3 linked regions of the Cricetulus griseus genome follow. The protein of the gene in region 3 purifies or fractionates together with the protein of the main gene of each other region. This does not show direct contact. Links are inferred from orthologs where the notes say so. Each region holds a gene or a part of one and is shown on either strand. Other genes may lie near its edges.

The links.
Region 1: the proteins of bystin (region 3) and Pno1 fractionate together in Homo sapiens (co-fractionation; 4 studies listed by BioGRID and IntAct, with this or other methods). This does not show direct contact. The link is inferred for Cricetulus griseus from reciprocal best matches to the Homo sapiens genes BYSL and PNO1.
Region 2: the proteins of bystin (region 3) and Tsr1 purify together in Homo sapiens (affinity purification with mass spectrometry; 3 studies listed by BioGRID and IntAct, counting the BioPlex papers as one, with this or other methods). This does not show direct contact. The link is inferred for Cricetulus griseus from reciprocal best matches to the Homo sapiens genes BYSL and TSR1.

The regions. Positions count from the first base shown.
Region 1 is NW_023276807.1:89,075,411-89,081,011, forward strand, and holds the end of Pno1 (RNA-binding protein PNO1), read left to right. Parts: intron 1-2,130; coding exon 2,131-2,201; intron 2,202-2,705; coding exon 2,706-2,773; 3' UTR 2,774-4,000; downstream 4,001-5,601. UniProt on the Homo sapiens protein: Part of the small subunit (SSU) processome, first precursor of the small eukaryotic ribosomal subunit.
Region 2 is NC_048600.1:88,350,454-88,356,699, reverse strand, and holds part of Tsr1 (pre-rRNA-processing protein TSR1 homolog), read right to left. Parts: intron 6,189-6,246; coding exon 5,969-6,188; intron 5,872-5,968; coding exon 5,737-5,871; intron 5,214-5,736; coding exon 4,789-5,213; intron 3,082-4,788; coding exon 2,922-3,081; intron 2,593-2,921; coding exon 2,432-2,592; intron 1,591-2,431; coding exon 1,400-1,590; intron 1,387-1,399; exon of another isoform or gene 525-1,386; coding exon 362-524; exon of another isoform or gene 155-361; coding exon 44-154; exon of another isoform or gene 1-43. UniProt on the Homo sapiens protein: Required during maturation of the 40S ribosomal subunit in the nucleolus.
Region 3 is NW_023276806.1:255,578,957-255,585,720, reverse strand, and holds the start of bystin, read right to left. Parts: upstream 4,557-6,764; 5' UTR 4,461-4,556; coding exon 4,196-4,460; intron 1,032-4,195; coding exon 869-1,031; intron 1-868. Other genes in the region: mediator of RNA polymerase II transcription subunit 20, read left to right, coding at 4,966-4,979. UniProt on the Homo sapiens protein: Required for processing of 20S pre-rRNA precursor and biogenesis of 40S ribosomal subunits. May be required for trophinin-dependent regulation of cell adhesion during implantation of human embryos.

The sequences.
Region 1 (5,601 bases), on a different chromosome or scaffold from region 3:
ATGTTGGTGTTAAACAGATGTTAGTGTTAAACAGGCAGATGTCTAAGACCTGATAAGACTATGAAGTTGGCAAGTAGCAGTTGACAGGGTGAGGATTTCATCTAATATCATTTTGCTTTAAACATCATTATTTAGACTACATTAATGTAAGCATTCTTTATATTTAAGGGTAACTGTTGTATATTGGTGGCCCTACTTGAAGCCAAATATATTATCATAGTTCTGCTCTTTTATGGATTGAGCCTTAAGAGTTTGAAACCTGAGGGTTTTTTGTGTTATTTTTTTCCTACTGGAAATTTCAAAGACACAGAAATAACAATATTTAAAATGGCTGATCCTAGCCTAAAAGTTTTTGTTAGTTGAGAAAACCAAAGCTAGAACCTTCTTGCTAATGAACTTGTGACGAGTTTCTAATTAACTTTATAAACCGCAAATTTAAATGTCTTAAAATTTTCTGTAAATGTTGTTTGAAAAAGAGTATTTTTGGTACAGTTTATATTAGTAAAATTCAGCTGTCAGTGGTGTCAGTCTAATAGGTTGCTCAGCATAGCAGCCCTTTAGCCCTGCCACACCCATAGTGCTCATCATCACAGGTCCCCTGCATCATTTTAATCAGTCCTTTACCCACTTTAGAACCAGTCAGCCACTGTTCTGCTTTTGCCATTTTCAGAAACTTGTAAATGGATGCCCAGTGTGTATTCATTTAGTATATTGCTTTGAGCTTCTTCATTTTGTTGGGTACAACAGTATTTCCACTCCCTTGCCCTTTTTTTTTCTTTTAAATAGCCAAATAGCATTCTAATTACAGTTGATAGACATCGGGGATATTTCATTTTGGAGCTATTATGACCAATGCTGGTGTAAAGTACTTTTTATATCTTTTGTTCAATTTTGAATTAGATTTAAGATGTAACAGTAATGTTTTTTGTTTTTCGAGACAGGGTTTCTCTGTGTAGCTTTGGAGCCTATCCTGGCACTCGCTCTGGAGACCAGGCTGGCTTTGAACTCACAGAGATCGGCCTGCCTCAGTGCTGGGATTAAAGGTGTGCGCCACCAACGCCTGGCTATCATGTAACAGTAATTTTTGTTGTTGTTACATTTAGAAATTTTTTTGAAATTATAATTACATTTCTCCTTTTCTATCAAATCCTATCATATACCCTTCTTTTTCAAACTCATGGCCCTTTTTTTTATTGTTATTGCCTGCATATATGTATATACTATATATTCCTAAATATAAACTGCTCAGTCTGCTTAATGTTACTTGTATGTATGTTTTCAGAGCTGACCATTTGGTATTGGATAACCAGTTGGTGTGCTCTTCCCTGGAGAAGATTTTTTTCTGCTCCCAGTATTCCTGTTGCTTGTAGTTCTTTTTATAGGGTTGAGGCCTCTTGGTATCTACTTTGGTATGCCCGTTGGTGTTATCCTTGTTCAGCTCATGATTGGGCAGTCATGTTGGTGAGACTTTATGAGTGTCGTTTCTGATGTTGGTACACACAGTCTCACAGCAAACCTCTGATCCTGTAGCTCTTGCATGTTTCTACCTTCTTATCCAAAATTTCCCGTGAGCCTTAGCTGTGGGAGGTTTGTAGATGTATCCGTTGGGACTGGGCTCCACAACTCTACATATTGGTAGATAGTGGTCTCTGTTTATTGCAAAGAGAACTTTCCTTTATGAGGGGGTGAAGACTACACTTACCAGGCTAGACCCAGAGGAGGACATCTGGTATTTTTATGAAGTTGCTAATAACTTGGCAATACACAGAATAATGTGAGCAAGATACAAAATAAAGGACAATTTTCTGTCTAGATATATTTAAAATACCAAAGGGGAGAGAATGTTGCTTATGTTTAGTGACACTTTTTATGCACTTTTTAGTACCTGCCTCGTTCCTGCTGGAATTCTGATAAATTTGTCTTTTTGATAATTTTTTGTGGGGATATAGAATTCCTATATCACAAGTCACTCATTTTTGAAGTGGTTTTAGAAGATTATAAAGTTGTCAGCCATCACCCTGTGCCCTCAGTTTAGAATTTAGATCTATTTTCATTTCCAGAGTTTTTAGTTCCCCAGATGTGGCACGAACATGCCATTTGTGGCTAACCTGACTCACTTACTTCTTTCAGGAAAGTTCACATTCTCGGCTCTTTCCAAAATATCAAGATGGCGAGGACTGCCATCTGCAACCTCATCCTAGGTAATAGCAGTTTATTTCTTTGGTATTTTTCTCTGATTAGGGAATGGAGGAATTTAGGCCATATTTACAAAGCTACTTTCATATTGTTAAGATACCCAGCAGAAGTCGAAGAGTTGGTGAAGGGAAAAACAGGAATATTTTACTTAGATTCCATTGGTTAGAGAAGAGAAAGGGTTTATTGGGTAATATCAAAATCTCTGTTGCTTTCCCTAAGGAGTACATAGAAAAGCCATTCCAAAATAAGAACATTTTAGGCTCTACAGAATGGGGGATGCTGAACGCATGCAGTCAACTTGATTTAATTTGATCTAGTTCTAGAGTCATAGCAACTTTCTCAGAGGACTAGGGGGTTTTCTCTGGTGTTCAGGACTGGCTGGCTAGCTTCTTTGTGAAATACTGTTTTTACAACTTTGACTTCTCTTAGGAATGCAAAGTATTTGTCTTCTATGTAGTTCTCCATGTTTGAATATATTTGTATATATAAGCTGTTTTTTTCTTGAACAGGAAATCCTCCATCAAAGGTTTATGGCAATATCCGAGCTGTGGCCAGCAGATCAGCGGACCGGTTCTGATTCCCCTTGACCCTTGAGATGTTCACAGAAAACCATGGGAAGATTTCCCAGCCACCTACTGCTCAGGTTCCTTTTCAGGTCTCAGCCCAAGCAGAAGCAGAAAGGGAAGGTTTAACAGGACTTGCACTCCCCTGCTTCTAGAATAATTTAAATATGAAAATGTAATGCTGTTAATTCTTAACACATTGAGTGTAAATTGCTGCTGTCTTTTTCACACAGAGTCAGACTCACAGTTTAAAATCCTGTCATTTAGAGGCAGCTTCTTAAGACAGATTTGTAACTAAACTTACAAGCATTTTTTCTCTGAAAATTTTAATTAAAATCTCCACCTGTGAATCACAGTCTTTGGTACAGGGCACTGTGACTGCTTCAGGGTTGGGGCATAACATTAGTCTGCACTATTGAACCTAATGTGTTCATCTTTACACTCAGTGCAGTTTATGAAATGAAAGCCCTGCACCACAAGGCTAATGAATTACTTTACAAATAAGTAATAAAAGTAAAACTGTTTTCCAAACAGTATATTCTTGTAACTAGTGTCTGTGTATATGAATTTGCTTATTTCTTATATTGTTTAGAACCTATTTCATTAAACATGAGATTTAGATACTACAGTCTCTTTTGTTTCTCAATGACCTTGACCAAAATATTGTAATGATTGGAGTATCAGGAAATTCATGCAATAACCAAATGAAGTAGTAGTTTTAAATTTTTAACTTTTTAAGAGTTGCTAAATACTTATGAGTGTTTTATGCATCTAGGTATGTGCATCATGTATGCACCTGGTACCCTAAGAATAGAGAATCTGATCCCTTAAGTGGAGTCATCAGATAAGGTTGCGAGTCACCATGTTTTCTGCAAGCAAGTCTGAGAGGTCAGCAAGTGCTCTTAACCATTGAGCCGTCTCTCCAGCTCCTCTTGATTTTTGAGACAGGATATGTAGCTAGTCCAAGCTGGCTGTAACTGTCTAGCCCCACTTGCCTCAAACTTGGGACAGTCTCCTGCCTCAATATACCATGTGCCAGGGTTACAACTGTGTGCTATCATGCCCTGTTTAGTAGTATTTTTGTTAAGCTTGGGTTCCCTATTATCAGTGGGAAGTGCTAACTGTCCTAGCTGCTTTGTACCTTGCTCATGCTGTCTACCAACAGGAAATTGCTGGAGTGTTCCCCCAAAGGACAGAATGTTCAATATTATCAAACCTCATTAAAAAGAACTTGTTGGGAATTCTTTATTCTGAAATCTATAGAGCATTTAGGAGGTACAAATCCACTCTCAGTCTGCTCAGTGAGGGGATTAAAAATTGTGATGACATCTACCATTTGCCTTTCTGGGAAATGATGTCTATGGTTTTAATGCTTTTTTTAAGAGTCAAAAGTGACTAGATAACAGTATTTGGGATTTAATTATAAGAAACTGAAGCAGAGTTAAGAACGTAATTTTTGCCTTAGAAAGTTTGAGATTCTATGTTAAAGTACAATGTTTGCATTTCTCCTTCCAAGTACTACTGAGAGAAAGATAGAATGAGAGGGAAGGGGGGGAGGGAGAGAGAGAGCGTGGGAGAGAGAGAGAGAGAGAGAGAGAGAGAGAGAGAGAGAGAGAGAAAGGTTGCTGGTAGTTAAATCTAACAACCTGGACTAAATCACTACTCCCTTAACATCTCCAGTGCCATTATACTACAGCCAATCTGAAACCTGTTTCTGTGGCACTGCCGTGCTGTAAGGCCAAGTGGTCTCTTGGATAGATACTATTACAACTCCAACTTTATTTTACTTATTTATTAACACATTGTCTGAGTTAAAAGAAAAGTGAGTTTCATAGGTAAAGCTATGGTCCAACTGGGGGATTCCACAAGATTTGGGCTTGTGCCTGCCTAGCACTAGTGATAAGGATGAAGGTTAATGATTGTTGAGCATGTGGGGACAGACTCAATTGTACTCTTCCAAGAGCCAGGTTATGATTGGAGCAACACACTTCTGTTACATTATAGCCAATCTGAAATGCAAAGGACCAGTCACGTGCAAAGGACTTGTCTTGGGAAAGCACTGCTTATTTGGCCAAAGAAATCACAATCTCCAGGAACTCAAGCCATTTGGATTGGTTAGCTGATAGGGAAGGGAAAGGTCGCAAGAGGACTCAGCAGCTCTACAGCAACGTGAATCTGATGTGGGGGAGTTTTTGAGCACTTAATGATGAATATTCAAGACATGAGCTTGAACACCATTTTCTTTGTACACCCTGGGAACTATCTAGAAACTACCATCTTGTCTACATCATTCTAAAATATTCCACACATTAAAGAATTCTTTTTGAGGTCTAGAGAGATGGCTCAGCAGTTACAAGCACTAACTGCTCTTCCAGAGGACCCAGGTTCAATTCCCAGTACCCACATAGCAGCCCATGCCTTCCAGTTTCAGGGGACCACAGCAAAACACCAATGCACATAAAAAATAATATAAAATTCTTTTTTGGAAATACAGCTTTCCATGTTAACCATTGTATTATGAATACAACTTAGTAACTATTTAATGTGAAGCCATCACATTTTCTGTCTTCTGAACCTCTGTACAAGTTTTTAAAAGATTTCCATTTCTTCCTGTTGTCCTTGGCACAAACTATTCTGCATTTGTCTCTAGGAATTTTATTATCCCGTTGATGTAAAAGTGGAGCTTTTCCCATAACAAGACTTATCCATGTTACATAATGTGTTAGAATTTTCTTTCCTGTTGTACAGTGTATACCTTGTTTACCCATTCACCTCCACAATACTTGGACTGCTTTCAGCCTTTAGCTGTTGTAATGCTGCCATGAACTGAATCCTTGTGTGT
Region 2 (6,246 bases), on a different chromosome or scaffold from region 3:
AAAATATGTACAACTCTTCATTCCTCACAAAACACTGATTTACCTTCTGTTCATAAGGTAGTAAAGAAAATGCAATCAAGGGTGCTCCTTGCCTGAAATACTCAACCACCGAGACAGGGACGTCTGCGACATGAAGTGTGACATACCAGCCAACCTGCCAAAGCATAGACAATCACCAGGGTTACCTTTAATGTCCCAATAGTGACGAAACTTTCTCGAAATACATGCCAGGCCTCATCATTCATGGGTGTGCCAACCACCCAGATTCAACCTTCTCAGTTAATTATCTCAAATCCCTTTGTTCCCAAACAAGTAGCATTGTGTCAAAAACAAATTATAAGGTAGACAAGATGGCAGGTACCTCGGCTCCTTCAGCTTCTTTTTCCTCAATCTCTTTAAAGATTCTTTTTCTAGTATTAATAAAATTCTGAAACTGGAAGATCCGAGCATAATCTCGAGGAAGGTTTTCCTTGGGGTCCCAAGGAGATGTCCTGAAGCTCTTGAGGCCTCTATATTTCTGAAATCTAAGAAAGTAAGTGGTTAGATGGTGCTATATAAGACTCACCTCACTTCTAAAATAGTCAAGGCTCTCACTTTTTAAAATTACTCTTATCTAAGAATGTAAGTCAGTGGTAAAATGCTTACCTCTAGTACACAACAAACCTAACAAGGCTTTAAGTGTGGCTCTAATCTACTGGGAAGGTTGGGGTACACCATGTGTTTCATGTCTGCCTGAGCTACAAAGCAAAACTGGCTCAAGAAACAAAATTACTCACTAGGCATTCAAAATACCCTAATGAGCTACACATGGGCATGGAAATATACACCTATAACCCAACACTTGGGAAGTGGAGGCAGAAGATCCATAATAGCCTGATCCACATGAGACCCTATCTTTCAAACAAACTACAAACTAATAGCTTTAGCAAAAACCATGTCCTACAACAGCTTCTAATAACTATTTCAAAATCAACCCAGACTTTTCACAGGGGACAAAGAATTTATAGTGCCTGTTATGGAATACAGCTCTTCAACCTGCCTTACCACTCTCGTACCCAACACTGATACTGGCTTTTAGTCAGGCTTACATCCAGAAAAATCAACTACGTTTTATTACTTTTACTTTTATAAGCTTCATTTCAAAATATGTACTTTCACCTCCCAAATCCATATTTCTGAGCACTTACTCCTGCAAGGAATATTTGCTAATTAAACTAGGTATGTCTGTTTCACTCTGAACAAATCTATACCTTGACTATATGTTGCTGCTTCTCCTGTAGCATGCTTGCCCTTCAAGAAAAAAGGACAATGTGTTTTTCCCATTTGCATCCTACTCGAATAATTCTAAACCATGAAAATTTTTCAAATAAAACTTGTCTGAAATCACTTGCTGACTAACCGAGTTCTAGCAGCCACATCACGGGGGGTATCCATTTCATCTGGAAACATCTCTTCCAATCTTTCTTGTTTGTATTTCTCCAACATTCTCTCCTCAGCCTCTTCATCTACTTGCTCATCGTAGAGATCATCATGCACAGACTCCCCTAGAGTCATAGTTTCACACTCCTCCTCTTCCTCACTACTCTCATCCTGTAAAATGAATGGGGAATTGCAAATATGCATCATGAAACACACTTTAGTCTTGGGATTTAGGAAGCTGAGGCAGGAGATTCACTATGAGTTTATTGGCAAGACTGTTTCACAGAGAAACCCTGTCTCCAAAAATAAAAGAAAAAAAAGTAACAAGCCCGAAAAGGGAAGAGGACGTAGCTCCACTGGTAGAAGTGCCTTCCTGACACACATAAAGCTCTCGGTTAGATCCCCAGTGCTACCTAAAGTTGGGCAGATTCCACACGCCTGCAAACAGTATCCACACCGCTTCAGCTAGAGTTCTAGACAAGCCTGAGATGCATAAGACTATATTCCCCCACCCCTGACAACCCAAAAAAGAAAATCATAGCACCAACAAGGTGGCTCAGTGAGGAAAGGCAGTTGATTTCTATACAGGGACCCAAATAGTGGAAAAGGAGAACGACTCCAGCAAGTTTGTTCCTAACCCCCCCCCCCACACACACACACACCCTCTAGAGCACTGGGTGTAGTAATGATACAGGACTTTTATCCTAGCACTTAGGAGGCAGAGGTAGGTGGATCTCTGTGAGTTCGAGGCCAGTCTGGTCTACAGATCAAATGCCAGGATAGCTTCCAAAGCCACAGAGAAACCCTGTCTCAAAAAACAAAACAAACAAACATATCCTTTCCATAATTAAGCAGATGACTTCACACAGCCATGTTTTTGGAGTGTGGTGGGTGGTGTGTGTGTGTGTGTGTGTGTGTGTGTGTGTGTGTGTGTGTGTGTGTGTGCGCGCGCGCGTGTGTGTGTGCGTGCGCGCGCGCCCCGTCTGTCCATCCCAATGGCCTGTTTTCTTACCTGAGATTCCTCTTCCATTAACCCTTCATGTTGTGTATCATCATCATATTCATCACCTTCCTCGTCACTTTCATCACCTTCATCCAAAATCCATTCAGCTTGGTAATTGGATGTTCCTTTAGGGACCTTCTTTACCACCCTAGAACGTTGCTTCAATAAGTCTGTAAAACCCAAACAATTAAGTATTTTATATATTAATTATACTTTCTGTATTCTCACTTATGCAGACACTGCTACCAACATGAGAAAATAACAGCTACATGAGAACAGAAGGCTTCCAAATTTAATTCAGCTGCCCCAGTTAGCAACAAATATACAGCTAAAAAAATCCCTGCAGTAGACTACTATCATTTATTGTTTAAAAAGACAAGCCTAGAGTGATTTTGAGAGAGAAAGCAGAGCTCTAGTATTTGAACTTCAATCACTTCCTCATCCAGCCTTATAAGCAAGCAGTGAGCAAGAACTATTCAACATGTTTGCTATCACTGACCATTTGCCTCATTCAGTTCCTCCTCAGTGGGCCAGGTTTGCTCCCCTTCCATTGGATCTAGAACAGCTTCTGTTTGTAAAGACTCCTGTTGGTCAGGGTCTGCCTTCATCAGAACCTTAAGGTCTTCTTCCATGTCAGCTGTAGTATCTGCTGCACAAATCTAAAAACCAAAATCAGGTAATGGCCTGTCAGACATTAACTAAAATCTGATAAATCTAATAATAACTTGAAAGATCCACAAATTAAACAGAAAATCAAAACATACCAAAATTTCCAAATGGGCATCTCCTAGCATTTCAACTGTGTTCACCTGCATAACTCTTGAGACTGTTTCTAAGAAAACCTGACCTCTCCCACCTGCTTATTATACCCTTCCCCCTTTTGATTGTGTTTTAAGACAAGGTCTCTTTGTGCAGCCTTGGCTGTCCTAAAACCCTCTCTGCAGACCAGGCTGGCCTAGAACTTAAGAGATCCACCTGCCTCTGCCTCCCAAATGCTGGAATTTTCCATTTCAACCAAACTGCTCCCTCCCAGCATGGTAGTGCACACCTTTTATCTCAACATTCAATTGGCAGAGGCAAACTGTTCTCTGCAAAATTTAAGTCCAGCCTGTTCTATACACTAAGTCTCTGGACAGTCACTGCTACATAGTTGAGGTTCAGTCTTTTATTAATAAAAGTTCAAAGAAATCCTCTACTCCTTCACTATACCTAGATCCATAGTCCCCAAGACATTCTTTCACCTCTGTGGAACTCATTCTTCTGAACACTTGGCTGACTCTGATCTCTCTTGTGTAGCTAGCTAGTGTACTCTCAATTTCCACAGCAGGTCTACTGTGAATATGCTACTGTAAATTTTAAATTTACAAGTGTTTGATAATTTGATTTATAATTCAAATAAATTCTGAGAAGAGGCAACATCTGCCATGAAGGCAGAGCCAACCCCAAAGAATACTAGATAAATACACTTGATCAACATGTTCTAATTGTCTATTGCCTTACTTTCAAACTAGCAGTCGTACATGCCCAATAAGTGTGCAAACTATCTTCTCTGAAAATTAAATTTTCCAGCCAGGCAGTGGTGGCACACATCTTTAATCCCAGCACAAGTGAGACAGAGGCAGGCAGATCTCTGTGAGTTCAAGGCCTGCCTCGTCTACAGAGGAGGAATTCCAGGACAGGCTCCAAAGCTAAAGAGAAATCCTGTCTAGAAAAACCAAAATAATTTAAAAAAGAAAAAAAAAAAAGAGAGAGAGAGAGAGAGAGAGAGAATTGTTTTTCCATCCTGTGCCAATTTACAAATATACACTCTTAAAAAAAAAAAATGTCAGGCAGTGGTATCACTTTAATCAACTTTAATCCCAATACTTGGAAGGCTGGCCTGGTCTATAGACCAAGTTCTAGGACAGCCAGAGCTACATAGAGAAACCCTGTCTTGAAAAACAAAAAACAAAAAAACTGCCTGGGCCTCCAAACCCAATGACCTAATTCTAATCCTCTGGGCCCACAAAGTAGAAGAGAACCAAACCCTGGCAAATTGTCCCTGCCCTCCACACCAGTAATATGCACCCTCGTCGGCATACAAAAAATAAGCTTTGTAAAAAAAAAAAAAAAAAAAAAAAACAAAACAAAACAAACAAAAAAAAACCACATGCCTTTAATCCCAGCATTTGGGGACAGAGGCAGGAGGATCTAAGTGAGTTTCAGACCAGCCTGGTCTACAGAACCAGTGCCAGGGCAGGCTCCAAAGCCACAGAGGAACCCTGTGGGGGAAGAGGGAGTTAAAAACAACAATCTTGGGCAATGACTATAGCCAAGTAGTAGTAGAGTGCCTGCTGAGGCCCTGGTTCCATTCCCATCAATCTTACCTCCATTGCCATGCTTTGTTTCTTCTGAGATTTAATGACTCTAGGAGTTAAAGGGAAAGGGTCCACAGGTGCATCTATCTGACTCATTTGGAAATCACCATGTCCAACAACATGCAGCAAACTATTTACATTCAGAGTCCTCCCACGAACATAGCCTGAGATTTTCAAAGTGCCAACTAAGTTACTCTCCTCACTAGGCACGAAGTCAGCGACATGGGCAAACAAGTAAGCTCTCCGATCTCGAAAAGCAAGATGGCGTTGCTTCTGGTTAGCCAGCTGTCTAAGCAGCATTCCTGCCTCCTGTTGTGTGTCTAGCAACAGAAGTTTGTCTTCGGGAAAGCGTTTCTCCACTGTTTTACTTAGCTTCTTTCTGGCATCTATTTGTTTCTTTGGTGGGAGGCCAGAAAGCCCCTGGACAGCTAGTGCTAAAGGTGAGAAAGAAAGAGCTTAGTCACTTACTGTTTCACTACTAGAATATTCATTTCCAGATCACAACAACCCAGGGATCACTGGGAAACTCAACAAGCTAACACTAAAGAAATGTCACAGTGAAGTACATCTTCCTGTTCTTTCCCTGGGCAAAGGACAGCCCAGAAATAAAAATTGTCTTTAAGCCTTGCAATGCAGGTGCATGCCTTTAATACCATTACTAGGGAGGCTGGAGCAGACAGATCTCTGTGGGTTAGGCCAGCCTGATCTACAAAGTGAGTTCCAGGAAAGCTAGGGCGGCTACACAAAGAAACCCTGTTTCAAAAAATACAAAACAAACGTAATGATAATAAAAGAAAAAAATTTAAAGGAATTTAAAAAGCATTTAATTTGGAGAGCAGAATATAACGGCTTGGTTGTATTCCTAAATCAAATGTTAAACACTGCCTGGAAGATCAGAGTTGCACCAAAAAATGCTAATTAACTTTCTTTGCGGGTTTCCAATATTCCAACACTTACTATAGGTGGGAAGACCCTGTGCAAACAGGCAAGATAGACAGTAATCCCCAGTGCTGTCCCAGCCTTCTAGTGGATCCAAGAGGAAAAGGATGGTATCAGCAACTTTAGCCATGTCTAATACAGTATGCAGATCTCCTGAAAACAGCAGACACAGTAAGTAGTAGTTAGCACACTAGAATCAAGAAATACAACTACTTAAAACATAATGACAAAAAGTATTGGATACTCTAACCTGGTCTTGCATATGTGAAAAACCACCGATGTTTCAAACCGGGGCACAGAAGCATAAAGTTTTGGGTGCTCCCCCATTCTTTCAAGTACACTGTTCCCAAGTCTTCATTCTGAAGCAGCCTAAATGCCTCTGGAAGAGAAATCCTATTGTGCAGAGGCACCACGAGCACGTGATGAGGAGGCCCATCCTTGCTGCCCAGCTGCCTCTTCTCTGCCAGAACCTAGCAACACAAAGGTTCAAAGACTCTCTCACTCATTTGCATCTTCAAAAACACAGAT
Region 3 (6,764 bases):
CAGGTTATACCATCTGACAGTGTTTCACAGTCCCTCCCATGGGCCATAGTTTACATGTTCTGATGGCTGTGTTCCCAAAGACCTTGCCCTGGTTCTGAAGATGCCAGCACCAAGAGTCCAGAAACTCAGAGCCCCCTTTCTACTCTCTTGTCACTTACAGCGGATCGAAGAAACCCAATCTGCTAAGTTTGTCGGAATCATGAAAGAGCAGATATGAGGTGGGCCCGGGAGCCCTCTGGGGATAGGAACATGAACCAGTTCCACACTTTGTGAACTCTAGTAGAGCTGTCAGAATCCATCTGGGAGGGCTCTTCTCAGCATTTTACACACTCAAGCCATAGTCCCCACTTCACATTCGTGATAAGAGACGGACTGTACCACACTCGGAAGAACTGAGAACGGCCACACATTCATTATGCAGAGTCAGAATAAACTAGATGAGGGCCCTTTGCCCTAAACTTATTCCCCCCCCCCACACATCTACCCAAGAATTTGACCACAGACAGCTGAAACACCTGCATGTTTTAGAAGCAGCATTTAAACTAGAGGGGAGATGTCAGCAACAGCTGCAGAAGATCCTTAGGTTCTAGCTTCCACTCAGCCCAAATGCCAGGGCTGAGACCAAAAGCCCTGGATTAAAGGGAGCCTAAGGTCTGAGAGTAACATGCCAAGAGCAAACTGGGTAATCCAGGAAGTTCTCCATCAGATGGACAAAAGAGGAGCTATCTGGAGTCTGGGTCAGGCCCACTTAGAAGGTTTGGCCAAGATGGTATTCTGTAGCTGGCAATACTCAGACCAAAAGCTGGCCAGGGAACTAGCTTGTGGGAACTTTCTACCAGGATCTACTGTCCCAACTCTTAAGTCCTACCTCATAGGAGGGTTCTTATTCATGAATATTTCAATGGCCCATTCATCTTCAGGGTCCACAACCACCTCTGCTTGGTGGTCCACTCCGGTCATTTTGGCTGCCTTTTCCAGGGTGGGCCATTCCTCATCCTCATCGTCGGTTCCATCCTGGGGCACTCCCAGACCTAAAGAGGGAAGACAAAATGATAAGCATGGGGCTTCTGAGTCAGTCCACTTCTGCCATGGACTGCATGCCCAGGGTGCTGGAGATACACATGTGCACAAGGAAGGAACAGAGAGTTACAAACTATCTTTCTGTCCCCAGAGACTTGGAATCTTGAGCAATAAAATACAACACGCGAAACAGAGTGATGCTAATAAATAATGGTTGACACGCTGTCTCCAGTGATCTAGAAGGATCCGTCCTATAGTACACACATGGAACCTGGTTAGTCCAGGCAACCTCAAGAAGTGGGCACTATCCCTGTACCCAGGTCAAACCGGGACAGAAAAGTGATGTGCCCATAGCAGGCAGTTCGCGTCCTAACCTTCCCTTCTTCCCCACTATGCCTCTTGCACAACAGAGCTACATCATGTACTAAAACTAAAACCATGGTGGAGGCAGGGTGCAACACAAGCACTTAGATTACTGCAGAGGGTGATGAGGCTTTGAATGGGCAATTTGGGAAGAAGTGTGTGTCTCATATCCTAGAAAAGGACTTTAATATTACTGTTGGGCATTAAGAAGCCAGAGCCAGAAATAGGACCATAGGACCACAAAGGAAAAGTACATCCAACCGGGAAGGCCCCAAGGCTAGGCAGCGGTATTTGGTTTCTAATCAACCAATATATACATGTGAAGTTACAGACTCGGAGCAGCAGGCTTTCTTGGGACTGCCAGAGCCCAAATCATGACATAGTCTTACTACTAATTATGAATGTTTGGCCTTAGCTTTAGGCTTGTTTCTGCTTAGCTTTTTAATTGAAATTAACCCATTTCTATTAGTCTATGTGTTGCCCTGAGGCTGTTCTTCTGTCTCTACCTCCCAAGTGTTAGACAGTGTGGTCCATGTTTGTAATTCTAACACTGAACTCTTGGTTTGTTTGTTTTTGTTGTTGTTTTTGAGAGACAAGGGTCTGACCATGTAACCTTGGCTGGTATGGAACTTGCTCAAGCTCACAGAAATCTGTCTGCCTCTGCTTCCTTAGTGCTCAGATTTAAAGTCACGTGCCAATACACCTGGCTGACTTTTGAAACACCACACATAGCTGGCAAAGACCCTGGAAGAGTCTAACAAACCAAAGGAGTTGAAATATTATATAACAACAGGTCATTTGCAACAGAATTGGACTAAGGGTACACATAGCTCAGGAGAGTACGCAGAGCATGTCCAGCGAGACCCATGTTTTGTTGGTTTTTTTTTTTAATTTTGTTTTAGACTTATATACACTATTTTATGTGTATGCCTGTGAGTCATAAATGTCCCTGGTGCCCAAAGAGGTCAGAAGAGGGCATATGAGCCCTTGGAATTGGAGTTATAGATAGCAGTGGTCTGGCATGTGAATACTTGGAACCAAACTCTCGTCTTTCTGAAAAAATAAGTGCCTTTTTTTGGTTTGTTTTTCGAGACAGGGTTTCTCTGTGTAGCTCTGGCTGATTGGAGCTCACTATGTAGACCAGGAAATCTGTCTTCAACCCCCTAGTTCTGGGATTACGAGCTGCTGTGTATTGAGGTCAGGGGCTCTTGCTTCCAAAGCATGTATTTCACCAACTGAATTTTCTCATCACCTCCCTAGCATCTGGTCAGCAGAGGTGGACCCAACAGGTTGTCACTGATCACTAGCTGACGAATGGATTACAGACGTTAGAGAACAGTAAATGATGATGCTCCCACAGTGATTCAAGGGAACTCAAACAGGAGGATGTTCCAAGCTAAGGAAGTGGATATATCCTGAAGACACAAATCATCAGGGTTTACTGACAAACCTGATGTAGAATGAGAAAGAGGAGCCTTGAGCAAGGGGAGGCTAATGTGCTAAGAGACTCCATGGAGCAAGCAGTGAGATGTCAGGTAGACAGGTGGATATAGGGATGTTAGTTTACTGAAAGAACTATGTCTGAGAGAAAAAGCTGGGAGTAGTCATCAAATGCATGGTTTCAAACCGGAATCTGCAGACAGCAACACAGGAAAACCTAAAACTCAGGCCTGCTCTGGTCACAGAGCAAGTTCAAGTCCCGCATGAGTAACTTAAGGAGACACAGTATCGTAATTTAAAAACAAAAATTTAAGGGCAGGTGTGGTGTCAAATATCTATATTGCCATCAGTTGGAAAAACAGAGGCAAAAATCAGTAGTTCAAGGTCATCCTCACCTACATACAGAGTTTGAGGCCATCCTGGGAATGAGACCCTACCTCAAAACAAGGAAGTAAAGCTACTATGGCCCTAAAGCCATATTCAATCATCTCAATACTGCTTTTAGAATAAGAAGGCAAGACTAAGAAACTGGAGGTCAACCTTCCCAATGAGACAAGTATCAGGTACTTTCCCACTCATCTCTGCCGCCCACCCCCACTCGATTCTAAACTGTTTTCCTGCCTCGGTTAATGGAACATTTCCCATGTTTTTTATATCTTAGTCGGCAGGGCACAAAACTGGGGTGCCTGGCCTGTTGAATTAATGGCGGGTTTGTTGTTGTTGTTTTGAATAGGAATATATTCATTTTCTTTTACTGTCTCGATCGATAGAGGTATACCATGTATATCAGGCTGATCTGGACCTTACTATGTAGTCCACGAGGGCCTTCTTCTGCCTCAGCTTCTCACCTGCTGGGATTACAGGCGAGCACCGCTGCTCATTGCTGGAATATGTTACTCTATTTAATATTCTCTGCCTTGGGGTAGACTTCCGGTGCTAAAAGCAAGGACGAGTACATTGTTTATTTCGGTATCAGAACTGCCTAAACTCTTTTTTATTGGGGGGGGGGGTTTCAAGACAGTGTTTCTCTGTGGATCGAACTCACAGAGATCAGCCTGCCTCTGCCTCCCGAGTGCTGGGACTAAATGTGTGTGCCACCACCGCCCGGCTTAGAACTGCCTGAACTCTTAACACAGTTCAAAGCATTGCACAGGAAACACAGTCATACTTCACAAGCCCAGAGAATAAATACTGGAACTTGGTGTGAGTGATTACTTCCTGTTGGAACTCTGAGGTAGGTTCCAGAAGGTACGCGTTGAAGTGAAGGACCACGCGGGAAGGAAAAACTGCCTCCTCTTTGTAATTCCAAACCCGTATCCGGATGGACTGAGCTAGTCCGGCCCATGCCACCACTCCAGCCCGTGTCACTCACCCAGCCGCGTGGCGCGTTCCCGTGGCTTTGCAGGCTGGTCTGCAGTCCCGTGTTCAGTCTCGAGCTCCTCCTGCTGTTGCCTGGCTTGCTGCAAAATGCGTCTGCTCAGCCGGGGTCCAACATACTCTTCCTCCTCTTCAACCCCGCGTCCCCGCCGCTTGTCTCGGGTCCCCGCGCGCACTGCATTCCCAGCCAGAATCTGCTCGGCCAGAGGTGCATGCTTCTCCTGATTCCGGGCCCCGCGGGCCACCTTCAATTTGGGCATTTTTCTCGAAAAACTTGCCGATGCTACTCACACGTGGGAAGCCGGTTTAAAACTAGGACTGTGTCTGCGCCCTGTGTTCCGGTGCTCGGGAGGTCACCGAGAGTTCACAGCGCCCCCCAGCGTTCGGAGGCCGGAAGTGCCTCATATACCGCCATCTCTCCAGGAGCTCCGGGGCGGGAGCTGGACTCCCCAGATTCTCAGGTAATCTCATTGTACGGAAGTGGGTGGATGTCCCAAGTCACCTTTTCCAGACAGAATTCATGAATGTAGCCTGAGAGGTCCTGTCAAAGCAAAGCGCGCCCTGGGGGCGGAGCCGGGCTGATGACGGAATTCGTTCATCGCTGGAGCGCCCGGGCACGCCTCCCTTCTGTGGGTGTACCGCTCTGGCGCTCAGATTTTGCGTATTTCCGGAGCCTGCATCCTGCTTTAGGCGGCTCTACCTCCAGGGGCCTCTGGATCCCTTGACTTCGAGTGTTTGGCAGTGCCACCCCTTTGACCCTGCGCCATGGGAGTGACTTGGTAGGACTGCAGGGGCTCTTGTGGGACGGAGCTTGGGGTCGTGAAGGCCCCAGGAGGGGGATCGGGACGGAAGCTCTCGGTTCCTCGCGGGCTGACAAAGATGTCCTCGGGTCGTGTTGCAGCAAGGGACGCCGTGTGGTGCTTCTTCCTTCCCAGGCGCATCCTTTTGGCAAAGCCAACTCTTCATTCCAGGAACCTGTCAGGAGTCGTACCTTCTTTTTCTTGGTACTTCTTCATGTCCGTCAGGCCATAGTATTGTCGCCAATAGGACCTAAAAGTTGGGAATAGGCTTTCGCACTAAGAATTATTTGCAGGCAGCGATAAAAAAGAGGGGGGCGCTCTAGGAGAAAGTGACTTTTACATTTTGCTTGCAGTAATAATAGCCTGGCTTTAATTTGGTCTAATGTCAGAGGGAGAGGAAAAGGAGCTGTTGGAGGTTTGGAGGTCGGGGTTCCAGGCACATTAACTATCCAAGAATCACTTCCTACATGTTTGAGTCAGGTTTGGGTTTTTTTTTGTTTTTTATCTGAAACGTGTTTTAAATCTCACTTGGAAAAAGAGAGGTGATTGGTAATGTCTGGACACCGTGCTTTTCTTCAGGGCATTAATTCCAAAGTACTAGGCTTCAGCACGTTAAAAAAAATCTTGGTAGTGGTGTGTGTCTTCCCAGCTGTTCTGTATAATGTGTGTGTGGGATGTTCTTCAGGAAACCCAGGCTCTTGCAGGGTTTTTAGTGACTACTATACGTGCAAATTAGTTGACACCAGGAGCCTTATCTCAACCTCATCACACCGTAAAAAGTACCTGTCAGCAGTGAAAATAGAAATCACAGCAGAGTCACTGGGCCCTATAAAACATTTCTGTATATGTTTTTATGGGCTGTCGATCACCTGCCTCTGACTCCTGCATCCTGGGATCACAGGAGTGCTCCACCAATGCCTGCCTGCCTAGGGTTCATTATACAGAGAAAAGGTTTCCCTTCCTACTAGTATCGGTTCAACTCTCTCAAAATCACAGAGTTTCTGTCACAGTGTCAGTTTAGTGACTCTTCTGTTTTATGTATTGCTCACTGGTCCTTGAAACGACTATTGTCTCTTTTTCTAGGCGTATACACTCGAGGGATGCGTTCTCTTTGTTCTTAGTGCCTTTAAATGGAACTCTGTGATAGTGGGAAAGTTCTGTCCACAATGTCCAGAATATTATCCACCAGCCTCCTGGGGCTCTATACCTGACAAAAGCAGCTTATGATAGGGTTTATTTTGGCTCACTAGTTGAGTTTAAATAGAATGAGGTGGCTGGTCACATTATGTCCATAGTCAAGAGGTAGGTAGGGGTGTGTGGGGGTGTGTGTGTTTGGGTGTGTGTGCGCGTGCGCGAGAGCACGTGTGGTGTCCTACTCAGCTGATTTATCCACACCTTAGTTAAATAAGAATCTCACAGACAGGGTCAGGAGTTTGTTTAAGAAATAGGTCTCAGCCAAGTATACCCCTATAATTCCAGCACCTGGGAGGCCGAGACAGAAGGATTGCTAAAAGAGTGAGATCAGCTCAGGCTAATTCAGTGAACTCCAGATCATCTTCGGCGGCATTGTAAGACCCTATCTCCAAGCTTCTAGGTCCTGTCATGTTGGCACGTAAACCATCAATCACATCCACTGTACAACTCAGTGACACTGAATGTGTGCAGTGTGTGCTACCTAGAATCAACACTTAATGTTGGTATTTGTACCTTACTTGGGAATGCTGATGTGGTAGAAAGTTCCATGTCCCTGTGTGAGACACTTGA